Danio rerio: one gene and its partner. The protein of the gene in region 2 binds, or shares a complex with, the protein of the main gene of each other region. Links are inferred from orthologs where the notes say so. Each region holds a gene or a part of one and is shown on either strand. Other genes may lie near its edges.

Region 1 (4,185 bases), on a different chromosome or scaffold from region 2:
AGGGTTGGAGTTGTAATCAAACAACCACTGTTACACTGGTTCACCTCTTACTGAAGACTGTCAAAATGCAAGAGGCTCCAAACTTCATTCATGTTTCAGGCTATATTCTTACATCCAGGCTGAATTAGTGTGAAATAAAAACTAATAGAATTACTGTCAAAATGCACCGTCATTTAATAAACATTATTAATTTGGGGGAAAAGAAATTGTGTTCTTATTCATTCATTCATAGTATTTTTATGAAGTAATCAGTGATTGTGAATGAATTTAATGCACTGTAAAGCCCAACAGTCCACTTTATCAAATGAATTGAGTGAAAGAAATGTACAATATAAATCAGGAAGTGATATTACAAAGTGATAAGAACAATAAGTAAAAAAAGAAAAAAGTAATATGAAGAAAAGAAAAGAAAGAACAAAATGAAGAAAAGGCAAGTACAAAATTAAATTAAGAAATTAGAAATTAGAAATACAGAAAGCATTAATTACTAACATCCTGGAAGCATGATATTTTCATAAGTTTCTATTGACTTGCAGATTTTTGTTGTTGTTAGATAGACGTATAGCTTTAAGCAAGAAATCAATTTCAATTAAATAATGGGCAAATGAGGGAGAGGATTTAAGAAATTTTTGTTTGTGGATAAAGAATTTAGCAAATAATATTAAAAAAAAGTTATAGAAATATTCTTCATTTTTATTCTTGGGGCTTAAATAACAACAAATGATATTTTTCAGTTTAAAGATTTGTTTTGTTGATTGGGATTTCTTCAAATAATTACATAGATCTGACCAAAACAGTGAGATTTTACATGTAAAATACATGCGAGTCAAAGTTTCCTGATTTTCCTGACAAAAGGAACAAGTATCTGCAATATCAGTAAATTCTAAGATAAATGCATTGACCGGGTATATTTTGTGTAAAGTTTTAAAATGGATTTAATTTGCTTTGTTTGGGATTACATATTTGAATGGGAGAAGCATGTTCTTTTCCAATCAATATCTTCATTAAAGCTGACCAATATGATTTCTTTCTTGGAGCAATATGATTTTTTTTGTTGGACAATTCGAAGAATAAGTTTGTTGTTACATTTCTTAGTATTTTCATTAATAAACACTTCCTCGCACTTTTCCACACACGTGGGTTTCAATGTGTAAACAACAGTTACCATCAATGTGTGTTTGACAGGATCATTTATATATCTTACCACATACTGTATCCGCTGGTATACGACTTTAAACGAAGAATTACCTTCATAAATTTGCAAAATGCGTCCCTGAAGGGAAACGCTCGACAAGTTAAAATGCGTTAAATCGATGTATCCTGGTTTGTGTATGCAGCGCTTGCTCGTCACAACATTGCCCCGCCCACATTACACGTTTCCACAGCAACATTCAACCAAAGACTAAAAAGAGAGTAAAACATGCTGAAAATGTCGGCGATGAACAGAAAATTAATTCAAAACCTCGCCGAGACTTTATGCAGACAAGTCAAACATTGTGAGTATCTACTTGCGTTTGAGATATCAGCTTTTAGTTCGTTAATAACCTGCAGCTTTATAAAGTTATAACTCTAATAACTATACTAAACAAGGTAGGTTATTTAACGTTACTAAGCTGTGGTCATACTGTAGTTAATAAAACAGAGACGGAGTGTCTGATAAGGCTGTTCAACAGTCTGCTGGGAGAGCAGGCAGAGAGAAAGACGACTATTGGAGTGGACCGGGCCAAATTCAGAAATATACTGCACCACACTTTCGGGATGACCGACGACATGATGACGGACAGAGGTAACGTTGCGTTTCTGAATGAGAACAACGACCAACAAAACAATCACAATTTGCAGTGCAGTATTTATTGCATATATACTTTCACCGGCCACTTTATTAGGTTCACCATGCAAGCATTATAATGGGGTTTAAACTTAAAGGGATAGTTCAGACCCAAAATGAATACTTCTTCTCCATCGTTTGCTCACACTCAAGTGGTTCTAAACTTTTATGAGTTTCTTTCTGTTTGGGTAAAGTTACCCTAGTTGTTAAAGTAATTACAACCTCAAGCCTATCTAAATGTGGTTATAAGTGGTTTAAGATTGTAATATATTTCACTTAAAAAACAGGGGCAAACTTAAGTCATATGGGGGGCTCTAAGCAAAGGTATGGGGCCCCATTGAAACAAAACATTCTCTTTCTTTATAGATATTTTTCCTCTATAGATTTATTTATTATTAGTATTATTATTTTGGTAAATAAACAGCATGTTTAAACTAAATATAATCTAAATATAAATATATCTTGGACCTGTTACCAAAGATGCAACAGCAAAAACACACAGCACTGTCTATCATTTTTCAAGCTCTATAGTAGTAATCTTTTCACCATTATCTAAATAATAGCTGTTTGTGAATCAGTGGAAATTTTCTTTTGTTTGAAGACACTTCTTAACAAGCTAACGAACATTCCATTATTGATGGGGCCCCCATATTAGAAAAGAAGCAATAATGTTAAAATCTTAATGGTTATACACAGAAAAAAATGATAAAATAGCTATATGATTAATATAAGGTTCTTGGCATTGGTCGGACCCCCTAATTCCCTGAGGCCCTAAGCAGCTACTTGCCTTGCATATTTGTTAAGTCCACCCCTGCTTGAAAGTAACTTAACCCAACAATGGCCATTGACATTCAGAGTAGGAACAAAAGTACTATGGAGTCAGTGGCCGTTTTTTTTCCACTATATATACCAGGGGTGGCCAACCCTGTTCCTGGAGAGCCACCATCCTGCACATTTCAGTTGCAACCCATATCAAACACACCTACCTGTAATTATCACGTGGTGTTCAGGTCCTAATTAATTGGTTCAGGTATGTTTGATATGGGTAGCAACTGAAATCTGCAGGAAGGTGGCTCTCCAGGAACACGGTTGGCCACCCCTGATATATACCATTGTTTTCAATGAAATTTAAACAAGTGGAAATCGAGTAAATGATTGCTGAACTTACGTTTTTTTAAGGTGATGTATCTATTTTACCATCTCTGGCTTCAAAATTGCTTTAATTCTTCATGGCACAGATTTGAGTAGGTGCGGAAAATATTCCATGTTTTAGTCCATTTTAATAAAAGAACCTGCAGCTTTCATATCCTTGATGCAAATCTCCCATTCCAGTGCTGTATTGAACTGAGATCTGGTGACTGTGGAGCCATTTAAGTGACCATGTTCAAGAAACCGGGCGAAGTAGGCAGTGCTGTCGCCTCACAGCAAGAAGGTCGCTGGGTCACTGGTTCGATCCTCAGCTCAGTTGACGTTTCTGTGTGGAGTTTGCATGTTCTCCCTGCATTTGTGTGGTTTTCCTCTGGGTGCTCCTGTTTCCCCCACAGTCCAAAGACATGCGGTACAGGTGAATTGGGTAGGCTAAATTGTCCTAAGTGCATGAGTGTTTATGTGTGTGGATGTTTCCCAGAGATGGGTTGCGTCTGGAAGGGCATCCGCTGTGTAAAAACGTGCTGGATAAGTTGTCGGTTCATTCCGCTGTGGCGACCCCGGATTAATAAAGGGACTAAGCCGACAAGAAAACGAATGAATGAATGTTCAAGAAACCACTTTGTGTTTTGTAACCTGTATACATACATCTAAGTTTAGTAAGGGGTGACGCAGTGGCGCGGTAGGTAGTGCTGTTGCCTCACAGCAACAAGGTCGCTGGTTCGAGCCTTGACTGGGTCAGTTGCTGTTTCTGTGTGGAGTTTGCAGGTTTTTCCATTGCACTGATTTCCATTGTAGTTGTTTTTATAACTATGATGTCAATTGCAATTGGTTTCCAACATTTTTCAAAATATTTTCTTTTGGGTTCAACAGAAAAATAAAATCATATAGGTCTGGAAATACTTAAGAGTGAGTAAATTAAGTTTGGGTGAACTATTAGCCTTTAATGCATTAAGATACATCTTGCTGATTATTAGTTATTTACATTAAAAAAAATCACACCTAATAAAGTGGCCAATGAGTAAATACATATATGTTTCAGAGTCAAGAAGATATCACTCACTATACTTTTAATCTCTTGTGCACTCAGTTTGTCGTGTCATTGACAAGGACAACGATGGCTACTTAAGCGTTAAAGAGTGGGTTGAGGCTCTGTCTGTCTTTCTAAGAGGCACACTGGATGAAAAAATGAAATGTGAGCTCTTTACATT
Region 2 (3,949 bases):
ACTGCCGACGAGAAAAAGAAAGCAAGCGCGAGTGGAGAAATTAAATTATTTATTCCATCAACTAACACGTTAACTAGAATAAACTAAAATAAACTTTGTCAAATATAATATTCTCCACGTAGACAAGGTCTTGCGCAACAGTCGGGCAATGATTTAATTCAAGTTTGTCTGAAACACTAACTTTAGGAGCCTGCTAAACATAGGCCCATTATAGCTGATTATGTTTATTATAAATTCTATATTATTCAGAGTATAAAAGCAACATGTTAGCATGCAACATTGTTACCGAATTGAGTTTTGAACATTCGAACGTGCGTTAACCTTTAACAACACACATGCCATAATACGAATTAAATATAACAAGGTGATATCTATTTAAGTTTGATTAATTGTGCAACCTTACCATTCAGATGTCTCAGAGGTTAAAGTTTATTGGTTTACACACCCAACAGATATCCACAAATAGGTCTTTGGTCAAGTTTTGAAAGCATTTATCTGATTTTCATAATGTGTCAACTGTGAATTTCAGAGCAGTCACGTCCGTAACGAAGACAAGTCACGTCCGTAACGATAGTTTTTCCTCATTAATGCAAAAATGAAAAACTAAATAAAATTAATTATATATGTCCCATGCAGAGCCAACCCTTATCCTTTTGACTGTTATATATTTTTTTGGCTTCTGCATTTTCATTCACAGAATTTTCACAAAGTATGTCAACTCACAAAACTCATGTCTTTTTTTTGTCACGTCCGTAACGCATTCATTTTGCCGTCATTTTAAATATAAAACACCTGCATAGACTGATATTTTTTGATGCCTGAACTCCATGGTTAAGGGGTAAGAAAAATATAAACATATATTTCAATATACTGTTAACATATACCTTCTCTGAGAATATACGTTTCATTTTTTTACTGCAAATGTCACGTCCATAACGCTGGAATCAGCCATATATATATATATATATATATATATATATATATATATATATATATATATATATATATATATATAATAGCACTGTCGTCTCACAGCAAGAAGGTTGCTTAATCAAGCCTTAGCTGGGCAGTTGGCATTTCTGTGTGGAGTTTGCATGTTCTCCCTGCATTCGCGTGGGTGTCCTCTGGGTGCTCCGGTTTCCCCCACAGTCCAAGGAAATGCAGAATTGGGTAGGCTAAATTGTCCGTAGTGTGAATGAGTGTGTGTGGATGTTTCCCAGAGATGGGTTACAGCTGGAAGTGCATCTGCTGTGTAAAACATATGCTGGATAAGTTGGCGGTTCATTCCGCTGTGGCGACCTAAGATTAATAAAGGCACTAAGCCGAAAAGAAAATAGATGAATGAATGAACATATATTAATTTAAGGTATATCGTAAACTAATATGCAAATGTTTATATGATTTATTTGAAATACAGGGTGTAAAGTAATATTTTTAGTTTTTTGGTAGATATATTTTATGAGAAACTTGTTTTGTTTACTAAAAAATAGTAGATCTAACTGGATTTACATTTTAAAGAAAAATGTTCTTTAAATGTAAAGAAAAATGTAAATATTTACATTCTTTAAATTAAAAATATATAATTTTTTATGTCGTTTTCAGTTACGACACTCCCAAAATCATTTAGATTTTTAAATAAATTGCCAAAAAAGGTTCACAGATTGTGTCAGACCCTGAACATCATCTTTTTGTAAAGTAGATTATATACCTGTAGGTTAACTCTGTATAAATATAGTCCACGATAGCCAAACTCTCAAAAAATTTTAATTGTAATCTAATAACACACCCCTTTTAAATCTGGAATGGTCAATATTGTATTAACTTGAATTGAATTAAAAGTGAAGTTAAACATTTTTCATGAAATAAGTATGTAAATGTAATACACAACTATGACAAATTTATATATAACATTGACTTGCGGATGCTTTTTTAACAGTATCTTTATTTCAGTTACTCATTATAAAATTAAACTTTTTTCTGTTTCAGTCATTTCTGGTTCTAACTAAGCAAACTGTTTGTGATTACTGAATCACATGGATTTAAATTGCAGTTGACAGACATTTTTTGTCATGCAGGCAGCTCGGACAGTGCTGGAGAAGCAGGTGCGTGATAAAATGAAGAAGTTGAATGCTATGAAACACGCCACTCAGAAACAGAGGCAGCGTTTAGAGGACCTGAAGCTGCAGTACCAGAGCATGAAGCCACACAACAAAAGCCCTCTGCCTGACACCCAGAAACAGGAGGACGAGGAAAAGGTAGAACTTTTTTTTTATGGGCATATCGGATAAACACTGGTGAATCAGAAGTGGGTCTCTGCCTTTTAGATTCTCATCTTAATCCTCCTAAATGTATCTTTGGCTCTTTTGTGTCATGATTTGACCTACGTGGACTGTTTAAACTCTATGCAAGCAAAATAAAGAAGAATGAACTTGTGTGTTTTTTTTTTTTTTTTTTGTAAAGAAATTGCGTATTCTTGAGAACCGTTTGGAGAAAACGCAGCTGAAATGCCATGAAGCGGAGCACATAATGCGAGGATACCTGAAACTGAAGGAACATCTGCAGGTATCACAGCAAATTCACATACACACAGTAAATCCAAAGAGCTGTGTATAATAAAACTGCACATTTTGACTGCCACATAATAGAATCTTGAAAACAATGGTTCAGTGTATATTAAACAGGGTTCATCGCTAGGGATTTTTTTCTACTGGCCCGATCGGGCAAGTGGTTCAGATTTTTACTTGCCCTGCCAACATTTTCTCTGGCCCCTCCAAAAAAAGAAGTTAGCCATTTAGTTATTCAGCATAACTTTTCTTTAAATACAACTGACAATTTAAAAATGATTTAATTTAAATACAATACTGATTAGATTAATTAAAGTGAATTGTTTAATGTGTGGTTTAGTTTAACTATTTAGTTGACAATTTTATGTTTTTTATTTGTTTAAAATCCACCAAAATTCCTAATTTTATAAGCCGGCTCATTACATCAGTCTATAATACTGTCAGTATTTTTATTATTCATTTATTTGTCAATCTTAATTTAAAATGCATTTCACTTCTTGTTCTTGCTTGATCCATCAACATAATAATCATATTAGCCGCACAAATCGCGCTTAATGGGCAAACAAGTTCTGAAACAAACGTTTGGGCATGAAAGCTCGCAATTGACAAACAATCGCAGCCAAATTAAACTTTAGTGACAAAGCAGCACTGGCCCCTATCGGGCCAGTAACCATTCTGTATACTGTCCCGAGCGTCTTGCACACTGGCCCCTTATTGTTGAGCCCTGTTAAACTATTAGGTAGTTTTCATCATTGATAATAATACCAAATCTGCATATTAGAATGATTGGATGGTAGTGTATGATATTGTAAATGAGCATCATTTATGATTTGTTTCTTCAGGAAGAGAGTCTTACATTTCAGCCACAGCTAGACAGGATGGAGACAGAGATTCACAGACAGACACAAGTGTTTAAAGACCTGCAGGTCATGAACAGTGACGCTCATCTGTCTAAGGATGCTGCCAAGGTAAAGACATGTTTAATGAATTATTAAAAAATGTAATGAGATAATGAAGTAAGCACATTTTTAAGTGTGGCAATGTAAATGCTTAGAGTAATGTTTGTGTGTCTCTAGGCTGAGCTGCAGCTTCAGGAGGAGCAGGTGTACAGAGAGCGCAAAGAGAGAGAGAAAATCCTCTCCCGCTACAAAAAGCAGACGGTGGAGAGAATGAATCAGGCAGAGAGAATGAAGAGAAGAGTAAGAATCATTCACAACACACCTGCTGCAATTAAAACTCAAAACACAACAGTGTTGGTTAAAATAGGCAATTAATTTAGTTAAAAGTAGATACACTACTAATCAAAGGTTTGGAATGTTTACATTTTTAAATGTCTGTTATTCTCAATATTTATTTAATTCAAAATATATATTAAAAATAACTGT

What was found.
Region 1: odad3 (region 2) and clxn share a complex: the UniProt entries of both Homo sapiens proteins name them as parts of the outer dynein arm-docking complex. The link is inferred for Danio rerio from reciprocal best matches to the Homo sapiens genes ODAD3 and CLXN.

What each region holds. Positions count from the first base shown.
Region 1 is NC_133194.1:42,812,145-42,816,329, reverse strand, and holds the start of clxn (calaxin), read left to right. Parts: upstream 1-1,385; 5' UTR 1,386-1,420; coding exon 1,421-1,496; intron 1,497-1,630; coding exon 1,631-1,786; intron 1,787-4,064; coding exon 4,065-4,169; intron 4,170-4,185. Other genes in the region: grna.1 (granulin 1 precursor), read left to right, coding at 3-16. UniProt on the Homo sapiens protein: Component of the outer dynein arm-docking complex (ODA-DC) that mediates outer dynein arms (ODA) binding onto the doublet microtubule. Seems to regulate the assembly of both ODAs and their axonemal docking complex onto ciliary microtubules.
Region 2 is NC_133181.1:9,174,937-9,178,885, reverse strand, and holds the start of odad3 (coiled-coil domain-containing protein 151), read left to right. Parts: upstream 1-1,142; 5' UTR 1,143-1,876; intron 1,877-1,936; 5' UTR 1,937-2,069; coding exon 2,070-2,255; intron 2,256-2,460; coding exon 2,461-2,562; intron 2,563-3,406; coding exon 3,407-3,532; intron 3,533-3,640; coding exon 3,641-3,763; intron 3,764-3,949. UniProt on the Homo sapiens protein: Component of the outer dynein arm-docking complex (ODA-DC) that mediates outer dynein arms (ODA) binding onto the doublet microtubule. Involved in mediating assembly of both ODAs and their axonemal docking complex onto ciliary microtubules.